4 linked regions of the Coturnix japonica genome follow. The protein of the gene in region 2 interacts with the protein of the main gene of each other region in a pairwise test. Links are inferred from orthologs where the notes say so. Each region holds a gene or a part of one and is shown on either strand. Other genes may lie near its edges.

Region 1 (7,808 bases), about 8.7 Mb from region 2:
TATTCATAAGTTTTACTTTGTCTATGTGCAGTGTTACTGTTATAACTCCTGCTACCACTGATAAAATGGCTCAAGTTGTTACCACAACCACTCAATAAAAAATCAATTCCACTCTCTCTGAGCCCCTGTTTCAACTTGTGACGCTATTAAATGAATAAAATTTGCTTTCCTGGCAAAACACAGCGCAGTTAAAGAAGATGAAAGTAGAGAGAAAAATCCTTCACCAACAGTACCAGCTACTCGGACTCTCAGAAGAAAACTCAGAGGATTGATCCCATGCTTTGATTACCCCACAAAACTCGCCAACCTACCAGCAAGTGCTCCATTCGCCTTTAGCAGAGGGAGGTGCTGTAGAAGTTTCTGCAACTCAGGAAGGTACAGTATGTGCCTAACCACTGCCTCATTATTTCATTTAAGAGAATTCAAATCTGAGACACCAACAGCGCTCCTCTGTTATATTTTTAATACTTTCAGCATAGTTACATTTTGTTAAGGTGATATGCATCTCAAGAGAGCAAAAATAATTCTGGAATTTAAATAAGTATATAAGAAATTGACAGTTCGCAGAAGCAGAAGTTTCCTGTTGTAGGACTCAAGCTGTCATAATTACAGAAATTGCAATTTCTATGCCAATGGATGTTCCACTCTCTTCTTCACCTCATTGGAAGATGCTGTCAGAAGTACAATGACTTGGTTTGGCTTAACAGGACAAAGTAAAATTAACAGGCATGCGGAAAGCAACTAAGAAACTGATCAACCCATGGGCTATAATAAAATTACTGAGAAACAGGTAATTCTCACCATTATGTTTATTTAAAAAAAGCTATTGCAGGGTCTGAAAGCAGGTACTTCTAGTACCTAGAAGGATGGAATACTTTCAGAAAAGGAAAAAATATATATATTCTTCCCTGCCTTTCCCTTAGAAATATGGGAAGCTTATTTCTATGTATGAGACTCAATACCCATAGCAACCTGAAGGCTGCAAAGTGATGGAAATGGGAAGTTCGCTCTTCCTCTCCACACAACAAAGCATAATAGTCTAGAAAGACTAAGAAATCCAGATCCTGCTTGAAGAATCTGGCAAACACAGCACACTCACCTTCTGGAGGCTGGACAGGGCACAGGGCCGTGGCTTTTCACCCAGCTCTGCATGCTGCATTGCTCTCTGGCCTTGCCCCCACCCTGAGTCTGGTCCTGCTAGATATCCAGTGGCTGAAAATGTCTATCTAGGAATTCTTTCTGACTCTTTCAAAACAGTGAGTTCAGACACAAGCATTCAATTACTCTTGAAAGTTCTATATGCAATGCATTAAGTAAAAAAATGATTTCGTTTTTAAAAGTTCCAATTGTTTGGAAGCAAGTTAGAGATGAGCCCCAGACAGACTTGTTCAGAACAAGCTTAAAGAAAGTGAAAAGGCCAATGCAGCGCTGGAACTTACAGTGGTGTACCAGTAATAAAACAAGCAAGTCACACCAGTGCTCAAAAGGGTGTTCGTCATTTATATCATCATAACCAGAAACTTTCTTTATCACATTCCTGATCAAAAATAATGCTGGAATATGAAAATCTAGTAAATACAGCGCACTGTCCAATTAAGTAACTCTTGCTTTTCATGGAGATCAATGCAGACCTAAATATGTTTTTATACAGTAACAAGTAAATGAAGCAATCAGATTTTATAGAACTACTTTGTTGCAGTTTAGACTGAGAACTTGGTATCAGAATGCAGCACTAGTACACAAAGGCCTGCAGAAACAGTATACAATTTAACTTCTGATTAACATTGTATCAAATCCCACAAAAATCTCCTCCTAAATAACAGCCTGTATTAGCCCCCTCTTCGGGAAGTACAACAGAGAAGTAACTATGTTTTCTACGGTACTGAGAAGAGCTACCTGGAAAGCAAAGTTATTTGATATTGGCAGTAACAGAAGCTGATCAAACTGTCTTACTTGTGCACTTACACTTAAAACTTTCCAAAAATACATACTAATATTCTTATATAAAGTGAAATAATCACAGAGAAGGAGCTGAACTGTCGTACTATGCAGGTGAAAATCGTTCTTTACATGTTTCTTCTTGCAATATCCAAGCAGTAGCTTTTCATCTTTCATTGCTGCAGTTCTATTTTACTACATATTTCCAATATTTCCCAGTGACTTGTCACAAAATTTTAAGCTGATGTGCTCTGATATGCTGCTATAATACAGACTTCAGAGAACCTTAACAATTCATTTAACATTCTCTGTTGCTGAAGTAACTGAGCTCTGCAAGTATCAAGAACAATTTGTATAATGAACCACCAACATTCAAGGAATGCTTTTCACTTCATAAGTAGAATCCAAATGAGTTGCAAACACCACAGCTCTCTGACTCTGACCTGTCAGTCCCAACATGTAAGAGATTACTGTTCCATTATTCTCCAGCTGCTATGTAACTGTCAATGGAGGCAGAGATAGAACACATTCATCTTATAGCACTGAACTTCAAATTCTTTAAAAAACTGACCAACGCCTCTGCTTTTTGCAACAATTTATGTACCTGACAATAAAATAACCTCTCAGCACCAATTGAGCTTGTCTACTGACAAATACATGCCAGTGTCATTCCTGCAAGCACTGATTGCTGTGCTGCCTATCATTCAGTAGATCAAACTCAGATCTCAGTCATACACTGAGTCCCTGTCAGGAGACCTCAAGAATATCCATGATAAACCCTTCTGTCAGCAACGGAACATTAAAAGATTACAGTAGAACTAGTCGATCTTCTGGAAGATTTTCTGACTTTCTGGAAGATGATTCTCACACGCATTCCCAACGTGCACATCTCCACCAAATCCAAGCTTGCATAAAATATGTAATTTAGACTGAATTGGGTATATTGATTTTTGGAATTACTATTATTGGAAACAAAATCCCCAGTGATGTTAGTTGTATCCATTTCCCTTCCTTGCAGAAGGAAGACAAACAAAATAGCTTTGGGTATTTATCCCAATGAAGAGTTTATGCAGTTCTGGCACGGAGAACGTAGGGTGAGTTCTCCATCAGATTTGTTACAAGGACACTCACGTCACTCAATCCAGCATCTCCTCAAGTTGGACTCCTCTGCAACGTCACCTTGCAGTCTCTCTGCCAACCCCAATAGCCTAAGCCTACCATCATCACCTAGCTATGGTCCTCCGCTCCCCACTTGTTTCACATCTTTATTTTTCCAGTCAGTGATCCCATACTGCACCTCACAGTCAGCACCACAACACAATTTCTGCCTTCTGTTCTCACCTCCCTCTTACATCCCTGTGTTGCCGCGATGCTTGGACAAATTGCCAACAACTGCGGTGTGCTGCACAGCGGCCAGAACCCGGTGGGCTGACCAACCCAGCCTCACTCCCTGCTTTCCCTCACCAGCTGGCTGCCCTCGGCTCAGGCTGCCTTTATATGCCAGCTATGGGAAGACCCCCCTCTTTCCATTCTCTGCATGAAATATCACAGAATCTTGCTCTGCAATTTTTACTGAAACAATAAAAGTGGAGCTGTTCAATACAGATTTTATAATCCTTGGTTTACAAGAAGAGAACAGTAAAAGGTCGTGGGGAGAGCAAAACAACAAGCTAAATGCACCTCTTCCTATCCGGTTCTGCCATTCACAGCTCCTCTTCCAGAAAAAGCCCCATTTCCTTCTTTTTAAAACAGCACAAACATTAATGTCAGTTTATGACTACAACAAAATACTTCAGCGCGTTTCTCTTAAAGAACATAAGTCACGCTAATTCAGCGTATGAAACCTTATTAATCGCATCGCTGTTCGGTAAATGACCCCAGATCCGCAGACATTTCCCACTAGAGGTCGGCTGGTCGCTCAGCATCCCACACAGCGCACCCCCAATGCTTCCCCCTCGTGTCGCCCACCCGGGCACGGCCCGCTCCCCCTGCCATCACACAAGCGCTCTCGGGGACGGAAGGCACAAGCTCCGGGAGCCCTCTCACTGCACTCAGCACCGACACCACGGCGGAACGACCCGCGGCCGTTACTGATGCTGCCGTCCTGTTTTTGTTCCGCCTCACCGAGGAGCACGATGCGGCCCGGGCCCGGCGCAACGCGGAGCGGGGGAGGAAGCGCCGCTGCCGCCGCTCAGCACCGCGCCACGCGGACGGCGACCGCCAGGGCCGACCGCTATGCTCGGCCGTCGGGCCCCGCCCCGCCGCACCTGGATGTAGTTGGTCTCGCAGTACTCGGCCACCCGCTCCAGGTTCGTGTAGCTGTCGAACAGGGCCCGGCGCCCCCCGGGGATCTCCTCCTCCAGCAGCATCTGCAGCTCCGCCATCTTCACATCCTCTCACCCCACGACCGTCCGCTCGTCTGCCCGTCCTCCCTCCTGCACCTCCCTCCCGTCCTCCCTCCGCTCCGCTCCCTCTCTCCGCTCCCCGCCGCCAGGCCCGGCCTCGCGCCGCGGGCAGGAGCGCGCCGGACCCCCACCGCACCGGGGGCGGGGCGCGGCCGGCGGCTCCTCCTGCGCATGTCCCAGCAGCCCTAATCATGGCCCCGTGCGCCCACTGCCGGCACGGAGGAGCTGGGACGGGGCTGCGGGACATGAATGGAGCCGGAGCTGGAGCAGGAGCCGGAGCGACCCCCTGACCCTGCAGTGGCCCCTTCCAGTGACTTGGAGCATATGAGAAAAGGCCTCGTCTTTACTATGTGTGTGCGCAGCTGACCAGCTGGACTAACCTGCCTGCATCATTAGCTGCTTGTTATCACAGCATGTTTATGTTTTAATAGGGGACTCTTTCATGGATTTAAATTTAAAGATGAAGAGCCCTCCTGGCAGAGTGATGGTTATCCTATAATTCTCTGTACGCGTGCTGAAAATGATTAGAAGCAGTGTTTAAATTAGACCAAGTGAATCCAACTACCACTTTCCTACATTTACATAATCGACTCCCCATCTGCCAAGCGATGTGCTAAACTAATTTTAAGTCCTTATGCTCTCTGAGCCCCAGTTACAGCATTCCACACATTAACTTCTCCTTCTTTCTTTTGTGCAGTACCTTCCCTTGGTACAACAGCTTCAAGACTGGGAAGCAAATGTATTTCCCACCTAAATATACTGAGAAAACAATATCCCTAGGAACAAGCAAGGTAAGCATGTCGCTTACTCCAAGTTCCCTCACACGCATCAGATTTTTACCTCTGCCCATTACCCAAGGGAGTCCCTGCGCACAAAAACGCCCAGACAAGCAAATCATTTGGTCACGTGCAATCTCGTAGCTGGGCACTCTGTGTGTCCTACATACCACAGTCTGAATTACCAATTCTTAATTAGAGAAAAGTAATAACGGGGTAGCTTGGAGGCCACTGTTTTTGGCACCATGGGTAGGCATTGCAATCAAAAGCCTCTTCTGTTTTCTTTGCTATATGGAAGACAGAACGGCACAATCCCTGATCCCATTTGGACAGATGACCTGGTTGGATCTCTGACACACCATGCTGCAGGTTTTCACTTAATTTGTGTAAGGATCTCTGTTCTGGCTTTATGACATTCTCATTTCTGAACATTTTTTCCCTCACAAAAAAAACAAAAAACAAAAAACAACCCAAATTCCATGTTTTGTATACAGCAGAAACAAAACCCCCACTGTATCACATTGAGCCAAGCAGATCTGCGTCTGCACAATGGGCAAAGCACTTTGACAGCAAACATGGGCATGTGAACTGACCATAATACAAACAGGCCCATGCCCTAAAGCTGGCAGGTAGCATTTACTGCAGGAATGGGGAAAGAGGAAAAAATGGGGGAATGAAAAAAAATTATCTGTAGCTGAAATATATACTTTTGCTCCCTCAACAAAGACAGAGTTGTGCCATCCTGGTCTGTTTAGATAGCGTTGATCTGCCTCTGGCTGGATGCAGACCTTTGCTAGCCTCATAATGCAAAGCACCCAAAGGGAACAGCAGCACATTTAACACTCGAGGCTCTGCCACAATCTCAGGATGGCCTGCTACAGAATGAGGCTCATACACATCCAGTGCCCACAACAAACGCTGTCAGGATCCTGTGGCATCTTGGGCACTCAGCCGCCAGCCCCTGCTGTGAAACAGTGAAGAACCCACACACTCTGCAGCTGCACATTCTCCTCCTGCTTCCGCAGGCATTCACCAATTTGCTGGGCAATCAAGATCGTAACCACAGATAATCTTTCTGCTCATGATAAACTGCTGCTGGGTAAAATACCGACTGTACACAGGACACAAGTTACCTGTGGGGTAGTTCACATCTCATGGAAGTGCTTGCACTAACACCACTAGTTCAGAAACAGGCAGAGGCAGTGCATGACTGACATCCATCACCTCACAGCACCTCCGGAGAGGCACAGGACACACTGCAGACATTCCGTCTTTCTGTTCTCGGCCGTGTCTCATTCTAAATATCAAGCCTTTTTTTTCTAGGAATTCAAGTTCTCTCTTGAACGTTATTTCAGCATAGCATTGTGTGAGAAGGATGGAGCCAGTACATGCGGAGAATCTCTCTAAGGGAGGGAGAGGTCAAGTTAAAGAGGAAAAATAATGATCTCTTCCTAACATTTCAGCTTTAAAAGAACACAGGCAACAAATGGTCTCAAAGACAAACCAGCACAAAGCACAGCTGATCATCAGGTTCCCTTCCGAGGTTCAAAGAACAAAGCATTCAGAGAAGGAGGGGGAAGTTAAAAAATGTGCCAATTTGTTTTTCTTTTCTGCCAGTTTTCCTTCTCAAAGATACCAACCCAATTTTCAGTCCCTTTCCATCCTGACCCCCAGTGGCATCTCCCAGGTCCATGTGACATAACTACTGAGAAGACAGACCCTAAAGGGCTGATTACAGAGTTAATGCTCCACTGCAGCGCATGGGAAAATCACCCTTTCTCAGCTATTGTTTCAGGCCTGCTACAGACACATCACTGGCCTACTTATGCTCTCCTCATATTTGCAAGTTTCCTTTGCAGCTACAATGGTTAGAAACATTCTCCGAGGTTTCAGTTTCTTCCTGGTTTTAATTAAAGTTCAGATTCTTAGGTACTCACATAACTCTGGGAACTTGGTCCCTGGAGCTTTTTTGATCCTGTCCTGTTTGTAATCATGTTTTAATCACATAAACCACTTTAAAAAGTTTGTAGGGTTTTTTATATTCATAGGAGCCAACAAATAACTGTGTGTTGTTTCTGAAATTAGCATAACTGCTTTGCATGGGAAGGATAATAAATCACATCTGTGAAACCATCCGTCCTGTTTCCATCGCACTTCTGGTGAAGCACTCTCACTAGCTGCAAAGGCAGCTCCTCTTTACACAGCTTCTGTTTGCCATCAGTCTGCAGCTCCACCCTTCTCCTTTCTGCCCTCGCCCCCAGATAGCACCTGGGAGCATTCCAGCCCTTGATGAACCCACAGCTGCCTTTAACTGTATGGTAACAACACACATCTCAGGGATGCAGTATTAATAGGAGATGGAGAACAATGGCTCCCCATCAGCTTCCCCCACCTCAGCCTAGAATTGGTTTGACAGAGCATTTACAGGTAGAAGGCAGGCAGGCAGGCATTCCCATGTTGTCTTCTCTGAGGGGAAGCGTAAATAATTCATTTATCTCAAAATCTATGACATCTCTGAATCATGAGTGAGCTTTCAGCAGTAAAGAGCTACAGTCTAAGCTGTCCCCCTCCTGTTACAAACTAGTCAGAGTCACAAGGTCAGCACCCTGATTTGTTCTGCTGAACAGAAGTAAGAACAACAGTTCCCAGGCAATGAAGAACATGGATGTGATACAATGGATGGGGCCAA
Region 2 (7,141 bases):
ACGATGATTGCACAGGGACACAGGGGCTGACATGCATTTAAAACAAAATCTAAGGGGTTAAAAGGGAATTGTTTTATTTAGTGAGCTACATGTATTCAGGGGAGAAAAAAGAAAAAAGAAAAAAGAAAGGGAAAATTGAGTACAAGTCCCAGAGGAAGCTTCCAGAACATGGAACCCATGATGTTTTGTAAATGTTCCCTACTGTTCATTTCTATGCCCAGTGCTCAGTTGACAGGACACGATACAGCACAATATTGCCTGCATTCCCATTATGTACTGGCAGGAAAAAAAGAAAAAGACTGAATTCAACCGCTACTGCCATCCTAAAACTTAGTCTGGAGATTGATGATTGAACAGCACCACCTAGCTATAAAACTAGGAACAGCTTCATCTCGTGTTCTCACAAATACCAGCTCAACACACACAAACTTTAGAGCTACTGCAATATTATCTCTAAACCCTCCCTTTCCCCAAACTGCTCTATAAAGACAGAACTCATTCACTTCAGACACTCATCAAAAATAGCCAAGAGCATTTAAATGATCAGTGTGCAAGCAGTATGAGGTGCATGTTTATAATAAATAGTTCATAATTCAGCAAGTTGAACAAAACTGTAACTACTCAAAATGGGTTATGAGCAGAAAATGAAATCTTTCCCATTTTAAGAATTATTTTTCTTCTTTAATCTCAGCCCATGCAACACACGAGGAATTTTGGTTGGTCAAGCAGGTCTGGATCTCATACAACCCCAAGCCTGAGATAGGAAGATGCTTCCCCATGGGTCTGATTCTACCTCCTTCACTTTCTCCATGTGCTGGGGAAGGAACGAAAAGGCTGGTCTACATGACAGCACAATTCACTGCCGCTACAGCATTTGGGAGTGCCTCTATTTAAGAGATTTGTTGATTTTACCCTCCCAAAAATCACAATCCTAACAAGTTGTGTCATTTTTGCTGCAGATTGCCAGAAGTGATTATGAAAGCATACAAACGCTAGATAAAATCTTTCTTTTATATTTAAAACAGTCTACTGTCTATCATGAGTTTTAGTCCCTTGGGGACTTGTTTCTTCCAGCTGTACACTTTACTCATAACCTATCACAATGTTGTTACTCACTGCCAAGAACTATATTCATTTAAGTAACAGAAGGCCAAGAAGTGGCTAAGGCTTCAAAAGTTTCTCCTGATTTCAGAGAGGTGTTTGAAAGAGTTTTGTTAAAAGCTTAGTGTTCTTCAGGTCTGAATTGCAGCACCTAATAGAAGAGCAGCATACAACACTACATCTATCACTAACACTGAATAAAGGTAAGAAGAGAGGTGCAAGTAGAACTGAAGATTTAAGAGCACTTGCCTCTCCAAAATGCTACGTTTCTTATTCAAAACCTTGCCAAAGGTTCAAAAAAAGTCAATCCAAAATGCTCCACCTTTTGTGCCTCCTTGCAACACGAGCTGTGTAAGGCTAAAAGAGCAAGAGCTGCCACGTTATGGAAGGAATACATGAATATCAGGGTGCTTCAACATCTTGGTTTTGGTTTGTGATCGCTCCTAGAACAGCTCTAGACCTCCCTCCCTCTTATTTCCCTATCCCAGTTTCTGGCTGGAGAAATAAAATCACGTCCTTGTTTCAGTCTAGAAAGCCCAGGTCTGCTAGATTTTACTAAGGTAGCACCTGGTGATATGGTAATACTTACTGTACATGGTTAACTGCACCAGATCCCTATGTTTTATAGGTAATTATAATGACTGATGATCGGTTGATATTACCAGAGGACAATTAAGATTGAAACAATAATTAATTACGTAGCTGCATAAATGCAGTGTGTGCCTTATTGCATCTATGGCAAGGCTGAGATCAAGCAGGCTAAAAAGGACTACTAAATGCTGTATGAAACCACGTTACAATATATAATAACCACAATTTCTTGCAGGCTATTTCCATCTTACTTTTTCTGTCGTCTTAGATGATTTTTGTGATGCTTCATAATCCTTTTTTGTTTCCAGGATTCTTTTCACAAGTCCACCTGGAGAAAATGAGGATATTTCTCAGAACATGATTCTAAACATTCAAGACAATAACATCAAACCCAACATGAACAGTATTCCATTGTATTTCAATTACTGAGATACAAGATACTTTAAATTTATTTTTCCACTGTCTTATCTGCATACACATGCACATGTGTATACACAGATAGCAATCTGCTAATAATTTATTGGTACAGAGAAATAAGCCTCCCTAAATCACATCCAGTGTGGCCACAATGGACTGAAGGCCCTGAATCAGATATCAGAGGTCACAAGTAAGCATAACCATTGCCATGAACCAGACAATCAATTTTCCTAGAAGCTTTTCTCTAACTTGCCTTGACCAGCCAACCCCTTCACTTATCTCAAAGAGACATACAGAAGATACATGTTTGACATCAGCTGTAAATCCCTCTGCTCGGCTATACAAGACTTCATTTGAGAAACATTTGCCGTGTTCTTGCAAAGTTGCAAGGTTCTGCTCCATCAAAAGGTATTTTGCTGCTGTATTCCCCATTGCAAGAGCTTAGTACTTGGTTTAAACTTGTGGCTTTACTCTTATGTATATGCATACAAATACATACAAAAGCAAACATACCATGCTTCTCATCCTCCACCAGATCCACTTCTGGCTCCTAAACATGCAGGGAGAGAGCTTTAGTTGGAAAAACTTGGTATTACTACAATATAAAATTATTCAACAACATGTCCAGCTAGAAGCTACTTAAACAAGCAAGCTACAAAGGCTGAGAAAAGGTTCTATAATTTATAACATTAACAAACCATTTCCAGCTCTGGCATTTCAGGCACGGGCAAGGCTGCCTCCACCACAAACTGGTCATCATCATCATCAGAAGCCTGCTGGTCTATGATCACATTTGAGACTGCCTTAGCACTACCGTTCCTGATAAGAGATGAAACGAACATGAAAACCTATTAAGTTTTTAGGCCCAATCCCATTCAGATCTATCCCCTCACCTCCTTCCATAAAATAAAGCAGCACACCAAATTCCTTCACTGCCATTACTCCTGAATACACTGCTTTAGTGCTTGACACTTATTTGACATCACCTGCAAGACATTTTGGCCATAAATTCAAGGGGCTGTTTCAGCCTTTTTTTGAGCATGAGATACACTACATGCCTTACAGATCTCTTATATTGATAGTTAAGATTAATATTCCAGGCTTACCTGTTTGAAAGTTCCCAGTGACAAAAAAATTAATCAAATTGTATCTATCATTGAACTTCCTTATGTGGCCACTAACTGTAACTTCTAAATAATACACTGGATTTGCAGAAAGGCTTGAGTTTTCCTGCCTGAATCAGTAGGGTGACTCATCCTGATGCTATTCACTGGCACAGGGTGAACACAACATCTTAGAATACTGTGGCGTAAAAGCCAACAGCATCTTTTCTGCATCACCCACACTTCTCACCTTTCTGAAAGCAAAGCCTCCGTGCTTTCTTGGCGTTTCACTACTCGGGGTGGTGCTGGCCTTGCACTGCCAGGACGAGGAATACGTCTGCAAGAAAAAAGACTTTTCACCTACACTGTAAAAGGAAGCATAAAACCAATGGAAACATCCCCAGAGTAGAATCCTATATGGCAATACCTTCTGACCTAGTAGGAGTCTGAGAAAACCTAACAAGTGTGACCTTCAACAAGAATAGTATCATTTTGGGTAAAACCACCTCTTAGTTTGTCTCACTAAAAATAATCTGGATACTGCACAGTTAACTAGCAATAACAGCAAAAGGAAAAAGTATATTTCCATAAGTAATACAATTACAGTAGCTTATTTCTGGGCAAAGAAAAAGTAAACTGGGATTTGAAAGTCAAGTTCATCTTATCCCTAACACCATACTTCTGAAGTGATGCAACAGACTCAGACTCTTCACAGATCACTCTTAATATAATAAGATTACATCAAGGCACTTTTTGGATTAAGAATGCACATCCAAGACATGAAGTTTCCTTCGTAGAAGGAAATGAAAACAAATAAAATGAACCGTACATGGGATAATATTCATTATTGCACGCCACAAGCACAAACTGCTTCACATTCCCTTGCTATTTTCCAATTGACGGTTGTAATGTTATAATGGGATGGAAAGTACTAGGATAATAGCAGGGTGGCAAAGTCTTTGGCTACAGCAAATGAGAACAAGCCCAAGCACAGCAACCACAGAAACAAAAATGAAGGAAAAGAGCTGCTTGCCTTTGAATGGCCTCAAACACACAGGGAACTCCAGCAAAAAACACCCTCATCTCCACTGCCAACCCTTAAATGAGGTCTGGGAAGGGGTGGATCCTGGCTCCAGCCCTTCCAATCACTCAGACACACTGCATGCTCCTGAGCTCCCTTAGGCTGGCCCTGCCTTCCCACCAGGTGCTCAATCACTGCTTCAGCATTTCCACTACAACCATGTGACCTCCAGACACCACTGGTGCTTCACTCAGACAGAATAAAGAACAGGAACCAACCTTTGGATAGCCTGAGGTGGAAGATCATTGGGTGCTTCATCGTTTTCAGATACAGCAGGTTTTTCAGGATCAAGGTTCTCTGCTTCATCTTCTATTCAATAGAAAAAAATGTAATAGTGGCTTACCTGCCACGTAGAAAATGCAAATCTAATTCTTTACAACAGTATTTCAAGCCTTATCAACATTATACTTTAATGTGTTAATGAAATTAATCATATGACAAACTAAGTGCAACTCTACAAGCTTTATATATCCAAGGACTCAGCTGATTTCTTGCTCTCACTGCATCTTGATGTCTACCACACATGTTGCTTACAAGATAGAAAGGAGAATTTCACCCTCACCATTCACCACTGCCCCAGTTATCTGCTGCTGTAGGAAAGGTTTTGTGAATCGCTTTTAACATGAGCTGAACCCACAAATACAAGTAATGGGAGGAAAAAAAAAATGTCATGTGCAGGCATTAAGAAAATGGAAATGGTACGTTTTAAAGTGGTTGTTGCAATAACTACCTGTGACAAGAAGTTCCCCACAGGATCTGCTTCAAGTTAAAAAAAAAAAGAAAAAAGTAGTAATAGTTTATGACCATTTTATGTCCTTAGGTTTCTCTCCCCTTCGGAAAGCACTTAACCTGAATTACAAAGCACTTGCACAGATTGCTTTTTGGTATTCTCTTTACTAACAACGACCTGAATAAGGTCTACTAAGAGCATGCAAACACAACCAAATTGCATTTTGCTACAGTCCTTTTTCTTTCTTAATCTTTAGCATATAGCATAAGTCTAAGAAAAACCCTCACTAAATTGCAGAAGTGCTTTATTTATTAAAAAGCACTGTTTAATTTCTAGTAGAAGATTTAGCTATCCCTGGTTCCTTCACTACAAGGTCACTAGCAAATACATCTGGAAATAGTAAACAAATTGGTTTTTCAGAGATGAATTCCTTAAAAATAGTCTGACCAAATGAGACATGAAAAATACAACCAAGAACCAAGAACTACCAGCAGCTTCTTGCTGAGATCTACTGCCAATGCCAGGAGAGCAGGGACAAACACAAGTGACTGTTTCCAGCAATCCACACTTGAGTGCTAAAGGCATCAGAGTGGAATTTCTCCCAGTTGTGTAAAGTTACACAAATGTATTGGCTACATGTCTATATTTCCTTGGATTAACACAGCTATAAGGCCCTAAAGGCCTCAGGTGGACTGGGAAGCAGCCTTTGATATCTCACTGCAACTACTCTATGATACAAGGTGTCCTGATTGGTATGGTATTGCCATTGGTGCCACTCAACTATCCCACCTCGGAGCAGATCTATGAGTGATATACAATTATTTCAATTGTTCAGTCTTAAACATAACTTGAAATACATTCAAGACATGGCATTAGCAGCATGTTTGTTTGAGCATCCCATGGATAGTCAAAATTTTCAAGAGCTATTGGAACTAGCTGTCAATCTCCAGGGAAAGAAGCAATGCAGCTTCATGAGAAGACTCAACAAGCTCCACAAATAGGGAAACAATCAGCATCATGGCCTGCACTTCTCCAGCTCCCACAAAGCCCTGTGTTATCTTGCTCTGGACAGATGTGCTGTTATCTCAACCCTTGGAGCCTCACATTGGTCACCAGATGGACTGTTGTAATATAACCTGGCAGGTAGCCCAGCACCACACAGTCTCATTCCCCTAAAGTACAACTCATGGGTTGAGATAAAACTATTAAGACTGAGAAAAGGAAAAGGATAATAGTTACTGTGTGTGTGTATATATATATATATATATATATATATACACACACACACATATATATGAATGTATACCACAAATGATGCACAAGCAATTGCTCACAACCCTCAGCAAGCCCACATGCAGGGTAAGAGGGCCAGATGAACTCCCATCCCTTCAAACTCATTCTGCACAATGTCATGTTGTCTGGAATATCCCTTTGGCCAGTTTAAATCAGCTGTCCTAATTATGTTCCCTCCCAGCTCCATGGGCCCTTTGATACAAATGACCTTGGCTCTCTACATGCTTATCTACAAACATCACTGTGTTACTGACACTGTTTTTCTCCTAGAACAAAAACACAGCACCATATCAGGCACTCTTGAAGGAAACTGTCCCAGCTGAAACTAAGACAGTGGTATCAACTGCCCTAACTTGTTTGTGTGTCTGGATGTGAGGAGAATAAAACCACAGACTTTTTGCTTTACTCTCAGCTCTTCCTCTTACATTTGCTCCTCTTATGCCATGTATGCTGTATCTGGATACAAATATCTCAGTAGCAATACATGTTTAGGGAGCCATACACAACTTTTGGGGGTTTTGTTTTGTTTTTAGTGAAGAAATAAGAAGGCAGAGATGGAATTTGCCTCAAAGTTCCTCCAAAACACAAACACTAATTGACACTTCCAAACATCCGCACAAAAAGGGAACAGGTAGTTACACAGAACAAGTCACCAAGGGATTCAGGAGCATTTTCCATGGCACAGCATAAGCACTGGCCACTGAAAACTTGTATTCTTCTGTCCTCCTTTACGAAAGAGTTCCTTTCTTTTATCCTTACCTTTAACCAAGTGCATGGATTCAAGGCTGACTTCGCAGTGCTCAAGTTAGCCTTTCCAAGGCAGAC
Region 3 (7,766 bases), on a different chromosome or scaffold from region 2:
ATCTCATTCTAGAAGTTGAAAGTGACTTTTTACACCAGGATACAAGCAAGCCCAATTTAACAACTGCCTTGAGTGAGCACTGCAGGGCAGACAGATGCATTTTCCTTAAGAAAAACAACACCTAATACCTTTAACATGAAAATATGGTTAGACCATCACGCATGACAAAAGACTGTACCAGGTACTAGTCTGGGCACGGGTTTAGATTTAAAAGGCTTAAATTTACTTAAAATAATGATCATTCGGTTCCCCACCAAAGACAAAAAGACTGAAGGTCTGTTTATTGTTTCCTTTCGCTGCCTGCTCGTCTCATAAAGACTTCAAACATTGTAATTTTTGGCATGACTATGTCAGAGAAAATCCCACAAGCAGACACAAAAATAAAAGGCGTTCTTATGTCGTTCCCTTTTATTAGCTCCGTGCCTCACCCACTCGGTTATTCTCACATGCAGCAGCAAGAACTAGGAAGACCATCTCAGCTGGCTCTTACATTATTATCATTTGTACTGGCAAATTGCAGTACATCTCAGCTGCAATAAATTAATTCAGTTTTCCTTTTCAAGACAGGTACCTTGAAAACTGAAGGAAAAAAGGGGCTGCCCAAGCAAGCACCAAAATGCACAGCAGAAAGAGCAGCACAATTCTACTCTTGCTTTAGCTTTATGCTGATGTCATTCTAGGGACACCAGTGTAACTACTGGACATTCGCACCATTACAAACACAGAATCTGTGTCTCGAGGTCAAATTCTGTTGTAGTCTAAACTGGTTTTACTCTGGGAATCTACGCAGCCATTCCTTTAAAATATTTACACAGCTATAAACAAGTCAGAACATTGTTGAGGAATGAATTGCAGCCAGTAAAAACACAGCCCAAGGCTTGTGCTGAAGTGGGTAGGAACTGAAACATTTCTGCAGCAGTTGGTGGTTGGATGCTCAAAAACACTCCACCCTGCTGCCCCAAGCAAGAGAAAACATGCAGACAGCGCAGAGTACTTCATGCGTCAGGATACATCATTTGGCTTTAAGCAAGATCAATAGATTTCAAAAACTAAGAAATGGGGACAATGCAAGTGCCTCGAGACTTTGTATGTTGACTAACATCTCAATTACTCATTGGCAATGCTTAGGGGAAAAAAAAGGCCCAGCTCTTGTGCCCAACAAGCTGTTAAATGGAAGTTCTGGCACTCTGAAAACATTCCTAGTGCCTTGGAAGAGAAGAATCTGTAAAGGTCAACCCCTCAGTTGGTATCTTTTATTGTTACCCTCCACTTTGGATGTGCTACAACAGATAATGCCATGGGGGACTGTAACGTGTTCTTGTCATGTCAGCACTGATGTTTAAGCCCTACTGCTTCTCCAGAAATGTAAGGTTAATGAAAGAGACCTTAAAAAGAGAACATCCTTCACTTGTGCTGGTGAGTCGTCTGCCATTCAACCGGTGTAAACTTGAAAAAGCCCAATCAAGAAAGCCTCATCACTAGAAAACCAAATAAAGGAAAACTAAGAAGCTTTCATAGAGGTCCTTCATGGAACCAAGTTTTTGTGAAGGGCAGCAGTATGCTCAGCAAATACATCTCACTTCTGTTTGCCATTGCTAAGATGTGGATAACACAATATCAAACACTACAGCATTTCTGCAATATAAGTTCTGGACAGTGACTCGACTCCAGCTCCCAGCTCAGTCACAGGCCTCCTGCCCAATCCTCAACCAGTCACATGCTTTTGCAGGACTGCTCACACATGTAAGCACAAAGTAAACTCCTACACACACCTGGTACACGCAGCTGAACACTTAACACTAACTCGAAGCAGAACCTCCTCCTAGACTGAATACCCATCAGTGAACACTAAGAATAACATTTCCTTTTCTCTCCTCCGTGCATTAAATTTAACACATGAACCTTACATGTGGAGCCATCCTTCTATACCCACAGTCTCCACCTCACTGGAATCCTCACCTGGGGTGGGGCACACGGGCGTTGCTCTAATAAGGCAGCAATGATAATGATAATGCACAGGATGACTTTTTCATGCGTTATGTTCTTGTAAAATCTTACTGGAATCTCAGCTGGCAAATGATCTAAAATCTTAAGCTTTCTGTTGTTCTTGTGCAACTCAACTGTTAGCGTGTCTGTACAACAGAGCATGAGTAATTTAAAGCTGGGACCATCCCTGAGACAGAAGGAAACATGTTGTGAAGTTGGGGACGTGTTTTCTCAAAGCTCCAGTGCATTTGAAATCCATCTGAACTGATCCATTCGCAGAAGAAGTTCCTTAAGCAATCTCACTGTTTTACTTGAAAAGTCCTCCCCTGCCCCCTTTCTTTCTTTTTTTTAATACATACTTTAAAATATAAACACATGACATGAATTCAGCCATAATAGACCATCAAAAGTGCCAGGTCACACTAGGGTTTAAAAATGCCTCACACCACAGTTGCCTCAAGCAACAGGGGAGATTGTATTGTATTTTTGCTGCACAGTTACAACTGATCATATGGTTTAAACACACAACCTAACGTCAAACTAACGCTAATACTTCACACGGCTAAACATTTGTCTCACACACAAACAACCTCATAGCATTCCAGTCTCCCGGCCCAACTTACAATAGGGTTGTGAATGCTTTGATATCTTTACTGTTGATGTTATGAGAGAAAAAGGTTTTACCGGCACTGTGAAATTCTATGAGAAATAAATAAGCATACCTAGGGTCAAACTGCTAATGTTACCTACAATGAGCTTACTCACCTCAATGCAATACTGCATCTTACTGTAATCTGGCATCAAATTCCTGTCATTCTGCTACAGAAATTAGGGACATGATCTACAAAGTCTGTGCAGGTGTGTCTGCTCCACGTGCAGCCAATGCAGCAGGAAGGACTGATACAGCATGTGGTAGTAATCATCATTACAGCCATTTTTTTTATCATTTTCTCAGTCCTAGCACAGCTATACTAAATAAAAACAAACAAATCTTATGTAGATCAGTAGTGGGATTAAAGTCTGTGGGGAAACATACAGCTTTTCCCTTTTTATGAGGAGACAGCATCTGATGCAGAAGGTGCTTTGCTGGAGGTAGAAAAGGTGTTTTGTTGGAGGCAGAGCTGTGTCTCCCTTGGCAGTGCTGAAGTACCAGGCCCCACTTCATCCTACAACCTGCACCATGGAGCACACCATGTTGATTTCGGGTCCTCTCCCTGAGGTAGGAGTACGCACAGCAAGATGGCGGCCAGCTCAAGCAAGGCCTCAGCCAGAAGGCAGCTTGCCAATGCTGGCATAGAAGGTGCAACAAGCTAATCTGCAGCAGAAGCGTGTATGGGATCCACATAAATATCCTGCACTGGGTATTCCACAAATCCGGCTCTACAACAAGAGCACCCAGCATCAGCCCGGCTGATCACAACACCACCTTAAAAGCCTCACTAACCCGCCCCGCCCACTGGCCCGGAAGCGGGAAATTGAAGCGCAGGCGGCGGGTCGTTGGGGCGGCTGAGGGGTTGTGAGTGTTGTTTTGCTTGTTGTGGGGCGCATCGATGGGTGGTTCCGGCGGGTTGCTCTTCTATTCGGGCCGCTGCACCCCCGCCTTAATCCTGTTTCTCTATGGGGGGTGGAAGGTCTCTCGGGGAAAGCAGCTGGGGGCTGTTAGTGGGAGGGCAGGCACGCAGCGCCAGGGGCCGGTCTGGCGTACTACACAGTACTAAACACAGTACTGAGGAGCCCGATTACTCGCAGGGTTTATAAAGGGGCTTCTGTTTTGAGGTTAAGAAAATACAGTTTCTTTGGACTAAGGGTTTTTTGATGAGTTTGATGTTGTGGGATCTGACCTTTGATTTACAGGCATGTTAGTCCAAGTGGTTCATAAGTTCTCTTGCTCCCCTGTTACAATTTGTAACCATTAGAAAATAAAGCCTAGTATTTCTTACTAGAGCTTTTTACTCATTCCTGCAGCCATGCGGCTCAATATAATCAGGTTAGAACAGCAACACACAATTTGTTGTTTTTCAACAGGAACTACTATCTGCCTTGAGATGGAGGAAGCAGCGTGTGATAAACTGACATCTTTATGCCATACACCAAAGGCTTCTGGGACAGCAGCTCCACAGAGGACTAGTTCAGGAAAACAGGTATAAAAACTTACAAGTCCTTGTTTTCTTCGTTCCCATATATGTAAAGTGACCTCCTGTGACTTGTATTTGAAAACGGTACACTCTGCTTTGGTGTTTCTCCTCCCATGCATTATAGCGATGCACTCAAACTTGCCATAGCGTGTATCATTAAAAACTGGAGCTATGCTGGATAAGGCTTGGTTGCAAATGTCCCTTAACTGTCCTGTGCTTTAGGATTCTTCCATGGATTTTCCTTTCCACCTGAAAGGAAGATTGCAAAAGGCAGTGACAATTCAGAAGTCTGTTTTACAGTTGTCATTACTTAGGACATGTTCTGCATGGATGAAAAGTTCTTTGAAATTTGATCAAAGACAAGCGGTTGATTTTTCTTTGTTCTTCATTTTCTTTAGCCAATGAGTGCAACTCTAAAGGAACGATTAAGGAAAACAAGACGTTCGTTTAATGCTAATTTATCAGCGGCAAAGCAGCTCAAGGTAGACACTGAAGAAAAAGACTGTGCAGATGTTGACAGTCAGTGTCCGCCAAAGATAAACATGGATTGTTCCACATCACAAGATAGTTCTGGATGCCTGGAAAGAAACTGCACTGGAAATACTTATTTCAGAAATCCATTACAGGAAAACAATCTCTGTGAATCAGCAGAGAATGTGGTAGGGGTTGATCTTAGTCAGCAGCAGTCCATAGAAGAAAAAGTAAGGCTGATGAAACAAGTGCAAGAGAAGGAAGAACTACTTCGAAGGCTCAAACTGGTCAAGATGTACCGATCTAAGGTAAGGACAACCTCTAGAAAGCACTTCAACATCACTCTTTGAAGTGAAATTGAGTGGTGTTTGTATATTAGCTCAGTTTAAAGCATTTAATTTAAATAGTTCTGCGGGGTACTAAAATCATTTTTCATTTGCAGAAATGTTGCTGTTCTTTCTTCCTATTGTTTTTGTTTTTTTTTTTTAAATCCCAATTCCAGAACAACCTGTCTGACCTGCAGGCTCTGATAGTGAAGTGGAGAAGCAGTACCCAGCTGATGCTGTATGAGCTGCAGTCGGCCTTTTCTGCAGATGGCAAGAAAGTGAGTCTCAGTCAGCTGATAGATACTTTTGGATTGGAAGATCACTTATTGCACTACAGCAGAACAGAAGAAGATTTCGTAGACACATAATCTACTGGTGCAAAGCTTTCAGTTACACGCGTGCATAAACAAAAAAGACTGAATGAACTGATAAACTAACAAGTGTTGATCAGACAATGAACTTTGTTTTGGTAAGGGGTTTTCTCATGGTAAAACTTGGTATTTAGATATGGTAGGCACTGTAAAAACCATTACTTTATAGTAAAAACTGAACTTATGCAGATGGTTCTGGAAAACTGGCTAGAGAGGCAGGTCAGTGAATTACTTAAAGTGAAATGAAATCAAGTAATACTTTAACAGGTAGAAGGCAGACAGTTGTTTGATTAGTCTTTGTGGTTTTAAGGCAGAGTGTAAGTTCAAATCAGTTTTCATTTCTGTTGATGGTCATATGGGGAGAGGGTTCAGTTCTTTGTTTGTCTTCCACATTTGTTCCTGCTGCCTGTCAGTTAATGACAGCATTTTGCAAGTCAGGTAAAGATAACTTAATTTTCATGTTAATATTCTGGAACTGCAATTAGATGTTCTTAATGGCTTTAATAATTGCTAAAGGAAATATGCCATAATGGCACTGATCCTTGTCCAGACAGTCATTTCTAGGGGAACTCCCACAGCTTTTGGTAATGGAAAGGAGAGCAAGAAAATTGCAACTGCTGTCTGTCTACTGTACTAACTCATTTAAGAGCTGAGACATTCTCTCTGAGGTTCTTCAATTACAGCATCATTTACCTTTCTGCAGTAACACTAAATAAAACTTCAGCATTTCATTTATTCTCCAATAAACGTTGTCTTTTCAAAATGTTTTATTATTTCAACCCAAAATTGCTTACTTTCTCACTTCTGTGCATATATTGTGGTGACTTGCCTGCTTTTATTTTCCTTGTCTTACCCACTGTAACAGTGTATAGGACTGTACTACCCTGCTTCCTGCTGTAAATATATATTTTTTTAATGCAACCCCACTCCTTATTTGCTGTAGCTTAACTGTTTTGTTTATATGTGCCAATTACTCATTAATAAGGATGTAATTTTGTACTTACCCCAAGGGAAGTGAAAAGCAAGTCACAGATGAAGTAGTTTACTTTAATGTTTTTAGGGATCATTAAATTAAAGTTTGCAGCCACAGTTTACTTTTAGGAATACTGAGTAGCACTGCCACTGCCAACAACCTTTATTACTGATCACATTTTGGGTATTAATAACTATTTCTTCTGCCTCTTTCATTCAATCCATTCAAAACTCCATTTTATGGGAGTTTATAAAAGGTAGAGGAAAATCTGACATGAAGCATGGAATGGGGAGGTGGTAATTTGCAGATGCAAATTTACTGCTTTCTTTCAGTACTTCACAATATCCTACAACCACATACTAAGGAAATAGAACAGGTGTATTTCTATCATTCTACAAGTTAATCTTTCACTTATTTCCTGAAATAAGCTATATGGCTTGTATAATCAAAAGAGCAGAAATGCAAAAGAAAAAACAGTGTAGGTAAGCTGAGGTACAAAACGTATGAAACAGATGTATCTTTCAATGTGATGTTATTTTAGAAGAAATAGAAGAACAGCAGTAGATGTTAACAGAAGAAAATGTTTTTCTGAAAGACAAGTCCAGAGAGAAAAGGTGCATGTCCAAATTCATCTACCAGGATTGGGAATTTTAAAGAATAGGGAATGTTTTTGATCTTAATCTTTCAGCTTTTGCTTGAAGAATTTCAACGTGTTCTTCCTGTTTTCCTATGAGACTTCGTAGATGTTTCTGCTTCAGAATCTCCTGGTAACGCCGCTTTGCAATCCTTTCATTAATATGCTGCATGTCTGCATAAAAAAATATATGAGTCAGACTGGACATAGGAGGGGATACATAGTCTATAAATATATTGGACTCACTTTGGTTTCGTTCCAGTTTCTTATAAAATAAGCACATATTTTTCCAAAAGGCTCACAGTTGGGTTTGAGGGTCTTCATAATATTGCTTAAAGCAAAAAATGTTTAAAAGGTACTGGGTGCAGTTCCTTTATTTTTTCACAAATACCCAATGCTGTGAAACTAACGATATGACCATTGGAAAGAACTATACAGCTTTCCTAACAAGGGATATCTGTCTTAGCTTCTCGTTCATCTGTTCCCTTGAGCGTGGAAAGAAGCGTGTTGTACAGTCTTACAAATAAAGGTCTGTTGTATAATGCAGATATTAATGGCTATAATATTTTGACTTTCAGTAATTAGATCAACTTCAGTTACACGAATACCAAACTGTAGGAATGTTCTTATGTAAACAATGTTAAAATTGTCATGGTAGAAAAGGTTCTGCTAATTATGCACACCAGTAATGAATAAACGTTTCTTGCCCTTTAGTGGATGCTGATGGAGAATGGGACTATCTAATGCTGGAGATACTTAATGAATATTCTTTGTTAGTGACTTAAAGTGCATTACTGGGACTCACCAGCTGCCTGAGAGAGATGCCTCCTCTCTGAAACAGACACGAGCATTTCCTTCAGCTTGATGCTC
Region 4 (7,053 bases), on a different chromosome or scaffold from region 2:
ATACAGAAAACCACTAACCCACATCTCGTAGCTCCCTATTGTGTAAGCAGCATCAGCAGCTGACATGTGGTCAGCTCCAGCATCAGTGAAGCTCTGGGTTAAGCTGTGAACTTCTTTTAAGCCCTTAACAGTTGCACCATCATTCCAAGTTTCCACACAGTTGGATTATTCCATGGGTTGCTATAAGTACTTCATTTCTGTGGCCTGTGATGCTTTATGGCTCACGCTGTGATAGACGCACAGCTGATGTTTTGTTAATCCACAAGTGATTATCCAAATTCAGTTTGATTCCAAATGCCTTAATATTGCTTCTTTGCTGCTTCTACGCAGGTGGCTGCAAGTGGATAAGGACTCCTGCAATTATCTACTCCACCCATGTAGCTACAACGTTGTTTGCTATCCTGGCTCACATCCTGTTCCACGATTTCTCAACATCAGAGCATCTGGGTCCTCAGACACTGCGTGAGCGCCTCATCCTGTTATCCATCTATGCACCGTACCTGCTGATACCACTTCTGATTCTTTTTACCATGCTGTACAGCCCCCAGTACAACCAGGTGGAGAAAAGGAAAAGGAAATAGTCTGCTGTAAAAGATGTGAGCACAACTTTCCCATTGGTTTCGATCCAGACCCCAGTTCTCTGGGACGAACACTAAGCAGCGATGTCAGCTGCGACACCTATTACCAAAGTGTCAGATTCCTGCAAGGAAAGTTTGAATTGGCTTTTGTTCACAGCTCTTCCATCAGAAATAGGTTTGGCAGAAGCCTGTATTGGTGGTTCCAGGTGGCAGCTGGGTATTTGTAGCTTTAGGGGGCCCAGCAGCTCCCTTCCCATCATCAGTTTTGTGTGGTACTTGGAAAATGAACTTCCAACCATTTCATGCATAACCAGGTGATGGAGGCTGGAAGCTGCAGCCCACGCTTTTCCTTACACTTTCCTTTCTCCAAGATGCCTTCAGGTTGCAGTGTGTTCCAGTAGCACATTCTGCACAATCCTTCACTGATTACATACAAAAATCAAAACTCCTTTTCTCAGCTACTTTAGAAGCATTTCAGATGATGTAACAATCCTCACCTTCCTCTTCCTTCCGTCTAAAATTTCACCTTATTTTCCTCTGCTCCAGTTCTGATCACTTGCTAATGCCTGGTCAGTGATAAATGTGTCCACATCTGTACTTCTGTATGCTTATTGTCTGGCAGCTCCTCCTGGATTTCTTCAAGTACTTCAGTAGCTGCAAACAGGGATTTGTAAACTTTTCCATGAAATAACTTCTAACGTGGAAATAAATAACTGCATCCAAATGGCATTTCATTTCTGAAAGGAAGAACTAAAACCAACATAATCTGTGAGAGCTTAGATAAAGAAAAACACTTTGTGTTATACTTGGAAATCATCGAAAATAAAACCAACTGCTGGTAGCCTTTTTTCCTGTTTGATCTGTAAGAATACAATGTGAAGACTTGTGTGAAATTCTGGGCCACTGAGCAGTGAAGACTTGTGTAAAATTCTAGCAGGCTTCTTCAGTCACTGCTTTATTATTTCAGGACGTTACTGGTGTGTAACTTAAACCTCCCACAAGCTTTGAAAAGGGCAGCGTTTTCTTATGTGGTTGCCTAAAGACAGGTGTAAAATGCATCTATTGCTGTTTGAACAAGAGCCTTGATTTTAGGTCACAGACATTCAGTTTTTAAATGCCATGCTCATATCTATGGTCTGTATGCGTTCCTGGTGCCACTACACGCTGAGGGTTGTTTGTCTCATCAGTCTGAAGTCCTACGGTTAAATTGCAGTATTCCACTGCAATGTTACTTCAAACACAGTTTAATCTTAATTCTCTGTTCCTCTTTGTGTGCAACTGCCCCGTTCTGTTAATCACCAATTTTTCTGACCAGTTTAGGAATTCCCAGGCAGGAGTTACCAACCACTGCTTCTCTCTTTTGCACGTTATGCTGCTAGGAGTGTTAAAATGGCTATATGAGGGAAGTCCTTCATGATGACGATCCAGGGAGTCACAAACTTACGAGCTCCCCAGTAACAAAGCAGAAGAAGCTAATTCTGGTATGTCCAAGTAGGTGACAAACAAAAGTTTATTGCCTGATTTCATTGAAAGAGCTGTACATTTCAAAAAGGGAGAGAGACATTAACAGAGGAACAGCAGTATTAATTCAACTACAGATTGAATCTGAACTACTGACTGTATAAAACCTTTATAAAAATCAAAGGACAGAACAGTCTTACAGCTGTTAGAAAGCCCTCCTTATTGCCACTTGTAGTGTAACTCACACTGCATTAAAAAACACTTTTATTTGCACAAACCATCCTTATTTATTTGCACACAGTGAAAAATTGCATATTTCTGAAATAGTCAAAGAGTCTGGAATGCTCGTGTTTCCAAGCTGGTCTTTATCTTAAAGTCTTCTATTTCTGAAAAATAAATTGGTCAATGAATTCATTCTGATCCGCTTCAATTTTACACAGACTCTCATATTCTATTCGATATCTGAAAGACAAAGAAAATAGGTTACCAGCTGATATTTTAGTGCAGTGCTCACCAGTCTGAGAGCGAAGCTCAGGGCTTCGTGTGTGTCCTTTTTAAGGCAACAGTCACATGAATTAGACTTGACAGTTCTAAAAAGCCTTTAGAAGTCACCTGCCTGCCACTCTTACTGTTTTATTAATTTCCACAGTTGTATGATCTCACATCACCTCTATCCGGATAGCCACAAAGCCATTAGAAATGATCCTTCTCAGTACGTGGCTGTTTCTCTCACATCTACACAGCTTTCTTTCCCAACTATTACGTCCATGCCCCAAAAACACTTAATAGGAAGCTCACCTTTCCAGCTGCATCTTTTTCTCAGCTATTAAAGCCCGCAGCTGCTGTTCCTGTGCTTCCCTTTGCTTTGCTATAGACTTCAGCAGATTCCGTGCACCGATGGCCTGTCAAAACAGACGTTTGTGATGGATCTGTACAAGGAGTTTTAACCCCTTTCACTACCAGCAGGTCGCGATGAAAGTCTTTCAGCCGTGCTAAGAGCAAAGGGGGCATCGTCCTGCTGGATGGGCTGTGGAGCAAACACAGTCCCTGTAGGGGCTGGGCGGGTTGAGGCATCTGAGGCTTCCTTCCAACCTGGGATATTCCTAACAGTGTGAAATAAACTGACCCCCTGGTGGCTGCTACCAACAGGAGGCTCAGGAGTTTCTCCCACAGAACAAACAAGGGAAAAGTAATCACAGCTGTGCTGAAAATTCATCTCCAACCCCATAATAAAGTGAGAAGATAAAGAGCGCTTGGTGACGTGTATTAGTGCACGTTTCTGAGGTAGTTACAGAGGTTTTTACTGCGTGAATCGTTGGACAGCCCTGTCCTCAGAGCCCACCATGAGCTGCGTCCTGCCAGGAGGTGTGACTACAAGGACAGCCCCAACGGACCGTACCTTCATCTTCTCGCTCTCGACAGCTCTGGCCAACTGGTCCATGAGCTCGATCAGGCCGCCCACCGTGCTCTGGAATTGCGCTATTTCTGAAAGAAAAACGGTCCCGCGTTCGTGGCTGTCAGCGCTGCGCGGAGTGAAGCGGCGCCCCCCGCCCCGCCCCGCACTCACTGTCCACGAAGGCCTTGCACTCCTCGCGGAGCTGCGCCGTTTGCTGCGCCACGTCGGGGTCGAGGACGCGCAGCTTGTTGAGCTCGTCGAAGTGCAGCCCCGCCGCGCCCAGCGCCTCCTGCGCCATCCCGGCACCGCTCGGATACACGGAGCCACAGGAAGCGCTGCAGGGTGCGGCGCAGCGCGCAGGAAGTGACGGGCTGCAGCGGGGGGGACGGCGGCCACGGGCGGTGAGCGGACTGTAGGGCCGGGCGGTGAGCGGACTGTAGGGCCGGGCGGTTCGGTGACGTGGGGCCGCGCGGGCGGGGCTGCGGACGCGGAACTTCGGTGTGGCCGCCGCGTTCGGGCCGGGGACGTTGCGGAGGCCACGGACGCGCCGCCCGACGGCCCCGCGACACCCGGTCGGCGCTGCCCGGACAGGCCGGAGCGGCCCGCGCAGCCGGTACGGGGCAGGGGAAGAGCGGGGCGGGGCGGAGCGCGTGTCCGGGCCCCGCCGGTTCAGCTCGGGGCGCAGTTGTCGCTTTGTCCTGTTGCTTTCTCTGCTTTGTGCGTCTTTTTTCCTTTGTCTCTTCTCGTTTTCTCCCCTCGCGCCGTTAGTCCCGCTCCTTTTCGTGGCCGTGCTGAACAGGGGCCGCTTCCTGACGGCGGTGCCGTTGTTGTGCTGCGCTCCGGCCGGAAGGGAAACGGGGCAACATTTATGCGTGTGTTAATGTGGGTAATTAAAGGTTCAGTCTGTGTTTATCGCAGGAGCCTCCTACGTGATCGATGATCAGGGACCTCAGTGACGTTTTGTCTCCCCGGACACGCTGTGCAGCGGGTTCTCATTTTGCTTTTTGGTTGTTTTTTTGCTTCGTCCTTCTTGGTCAGAAACGTAGCGACGTGCCGGAGGTGCGGCAACTACAGAAACCTTCACTAGTGCACGTGTTCAGAGATGCCGCTGCTGAGACTGGAAAGCTTCGTGCACACCCAGAGCTCGTTACGGACTCTGGCTGTCCTTAAAAACACGCTTTTATTTTGGAGGAAGGGCTCCTGTGGTCTGAAGCAGGATGGGACACCGAGGGCAAACCTGCAGCCCTGAGCCATGGTGCTGTTTTCTCTGGAGGTTGTAGGTGTAGGACAGTGCGCTGCTGCTGCTGCTTCTGGTTTACTTCGGTGTATGACAATATAACCTAGAGTTGACAAAAAGTAACTTTGTTGCTGGCAACATGGATTTCTCTGGAGCTGCTTTATTTGTGCAATTAACTTCTTACAGAACACAACTGTAATAAGCAGCTGCTAGTTGCTGTTGCTGGGTTACTGGTGGGGAATTGCTCCTCTGAGCAATATTGTGCTGGCTTTTAACTGAGACAAATACTCCAAAGACCAGACATTTTTTAGGCGTACCCATCCTGAAACAATAATAATAGAAACTACATGACATCGACTGTTGGTTTTTCTAGGAGTGAAGGGGGGAAAAGAAGTAGAATAAAAGGAGTTTCGAGGAAATAGAATGTAATGTTCCAGCACTGCAGTATCAAGTCGTTTGAAGAAGTTGGAGCTGCTATAAGAATATCACGTTAAAATATTTTTTATGTAATCGCCAGATGAAAGAATTGGACAAAGCTCTTCCATTTGTTTCCCTCCTGCAGGCAGAAAAGTTATTTCGGGAAGTTGAACGGGATCTGAATCCCATCTAGCACTTAACCTTGGGCTGCAGTGTTGTGTGTTGATTGTAATGCTGGCTGAAGACTGAATAACAGGAAGCCCAGAGGAGTTCAGCTTGCCTCACTAACAGTAATGAAGTCGTAATATGACTGTGATGTTAAACAGCTTCTGTATTGCTGTGTAAGTTGTTTGAAAATACACCTGCATTTTGTTTTGTCAGCACATTTGTAGGTGTGTCCTTAAGAATGTACTGAATTTGTCTCTTCGTTGTGGGCTTCATGGCTTTGTTTCTTTGTGTAAATTCTAGGCTTCTGTGTTGATCTTAAACATTTCCATTCCAAGAGTCTGGTGGCTATGACCATTTTTGCCTTCCCATCTTCGCCCAGTGACTCGTGACTCGTTGCCAATCACGGCGGAATCCATCAAACCCACACTCTGCAGGGTCGTCATCTACCTACAGAAGGAGATGTCGGGGGACACGTGTCTAACCACCACCCTGTGTCCAGCTGTGGGCCCCAAGCCTAAAACCTGCAGCTTCAAAGTCGGCAGCCTCGGTAACAAGTACGTGCGACTAAATGTCGGGGGCTCCTTGTATTACACTACAGTGCAAGTCCTGACCAGGCATGACACGATGTTGAAGGCCATGTTCAGTGGCAGAATGGAAGTTCTCACAGATAAGGAAGGTAAGTAAATGTCTTTTGTTGTTGAGAATCTTGTAAAACAACTATTGGAGTATTTTTTTGTTTGTTTTTAATGCATATTAAAGCTATGCTCAATGAAGGGTGTGGAGAAAGCTGTATTCCAAAAGGAGCCAGGAACATCAGGCTGCCAGATCCCATTGGCTCTACCTGTGCTTTATATAAATTGTCCTTTTGTTATTAAAATTAACAAGCAGAAGGGCTGGTTCTCTTTCCTGCAGTCACAGGTGGTAGGCAGATCGTTGATGTTTTTATGAAGACTGGACAGTATGTGGGCTGTCATATCTACAGTGCATTAATCAAAATGTCTTTAGGGAGGGGAGAGTCAGTTTTCAGCTTTAAAACTCAACACAGCCTTGATTGCTGTGTTGAAGATTTTCAGATAGGCTGAATCTTGTTGAGTGTCACGTAAGGCTGAATCTGTTTGGCCCAGCAGTTCTGTGTAAGAGCCCCAATCTACCAGAATGGAGGATGAGATTTGTCTTCAGGCAGCTTTAGCTGGAGAATCTGGCAGTGGTTTAACCCTCTTTCCTATGTTACCTTATATGTCTAGATCCTAAAATATAAAGAACTTTGGGTTTTTTTTTTTGGTTTTTTTTTTTTTTTGGTCTGCCTTCCACTTCATGAACAATGATTGGGCACTTTATTAAGCCCTCTGTCTGTGTGTGTCCTTTGCTATTGTTTGCCAGCAAGTCAGACATCCTGTTTCCCAGTGAATGTGACTGCAGGGAAGTTTCAGCATCACAAAAACTGTCTACTGCTGTTTCCTGTGCTGGATCCCCCCGTTCCTCGTCTTCCTGATCCATCCTTGTCCTGTTCCTTCCTCCTGTTTGGATACTGGAGCAGCATTTTTCCCTCACTGGATTTGTCAATTAAATAGATGTGCACTGGTGACTTCCTGTAGTAATTAGAAAGGTTTATGCCTTTAATTGGAACAAAATACAAAAAGGATGAAGCACAGAAAATAACTTTGGTACAATGGCTGATCAATAGATACGGTGCAGTCAAGTTCTTGCTGCAGTTTTTTAAATGTCAAGTGATAGGAAGCTCATGGCTTCTCTTCTGAGGTGCTGGAAAGTAGTGAGAATACAGACAAGGTGCCAAG

The links. The genes of interacting proteins can lie anywhere in the genome.
Region 1: the proteins of TRAF3IP1 (region 2) and ABI2 interact in a two-hybrid assay, tested with the Homo sapiens proteins (2 studies listed by BioGRID and IntAct). The link is inferred for Coturnix japonica from reciprocal best matches to the Homo sapiens genes TRAF3IP1 and ABI2.
Region 3: the proteins of TRAF3IP1 (region 2) and SFR1 interact in a two-hybrid assay, tested with the Homo sapiens proteins (2 studies listed by BioGRID and IntAct). The link is inferred for Coturnix japonica from reciprocal best matches to the Homo sapiens genes TRAF3IP1 and SFR1.
Region 4: the proteins of TRAF3IP1 (region 2) and IFT20 interact in a two-hybrid assay, tested with the Homo sapiens proteins (2 studies listed by IntAct). The link is inferred for Coturnix japonica from reciprocal best matches to the Homo sapiens genes TRAF3IP1 and IFT20.

Annotation. Positions count from the first base shown.
Region 1 is NC_029522.1:11,988,456-11,996,263, forward strand, and holds the start of ABI2 (abl interactor 2), read right to left. Parts: upstream 4,355-7,808; 5' UTR 4,323-4,354; coding exon 4,206-4,322; intron 1-4,205. UniProt on the Homo sapiens protein: Regulator of actin cytoskeleton dynamics underlying cell motility and adhesion. Functions as a component of the WAVE complex, which activates actin nucleating machinery Arp2/3 to drive lamellipodia formation.
Region 2 is NC_029522.1:3,277,173-3,284,313, forward strand, and holds part of TRAF3IP1 (TRAF3-interacting protein 1), read right to left. Parts: intron 4,603-7,141; coding exon 4,512-4,602; intron 3,550-4,511; coding exon 3,463-3,549; intron 2,929-3,462; coding exon 2,808-2,928; intron 2,660-2,807; coding exon 2,623-2,659; intron 2,021-2,622; coding exon 1,944-2,020; intron 1-1,943.
Region 3 is NC_029521.1:21,226,451-21,234,216, forward strand, and holds SFR1 (swi5-dependent recombination DNA repair protein 1 homolog), read left to right. Parts: upstream 1-3,412; 5' UTR 3,413-3,502; intron 3,503-3,597; exon of another isoform or gene 3,598-3,617; intron 3,618-4,011; 5' UTR 4,012-4,031; coding exon 4,032-4,127; intron 4,128-4,519; coding exon 4,520-4,900; intron 4,901-5,094; coding exon 5,095-5,286; 3' UTR 5,287-6,052; downstream 6,053-7,766. Other genes in the region: CFAP43 (cilia- and flagella-associated protein 43), read right to left, coding at 6,913-7,070, 7,702-7,766. UniProt on the Homo sapiens protein: Component of the SWI5-SFR1 complex, a complex required for double-strand break repair via homologous recombination. Acts as a transcriptional modulator for ESR1.
Region 4 is NC_029534.1:8,041,701-8,048,753, forward strand, and holds IFT20 (intraflagellar transport protein 20 homolog), read right to left. Parts: upstream 3,765-7,053; 5' UTR 3,734-3,764; coding exon 3,607-3,733; intron 3,525-3,606; coding exon 3,439-3,524; intron 2,942-3,438; coding exon 2,838-2,941; intron 2,502-2,837; coding exon 2,420-2,501; coding exon of another isoform or gene 2,410-2,419; 3' UTR 2,055-2,409; downstream 1-2,054. Other genes in the region: TMEM97 (sigma intracellular receptor 2), read left to right, coding at 331-581; TNFAIP1 (BTB/POZ domain-containing adapter for CUL3-mediated RhoA degradation protein 2), read left to right, coding at 5,717-5,933. UniProt on the Homo sapiens protein: Part of intraflagellar transport (IFT) particles involved in ciliary process assembly. May play a role in the trafficking of ciliary membrane proteins from the Golgi complex to the cilium.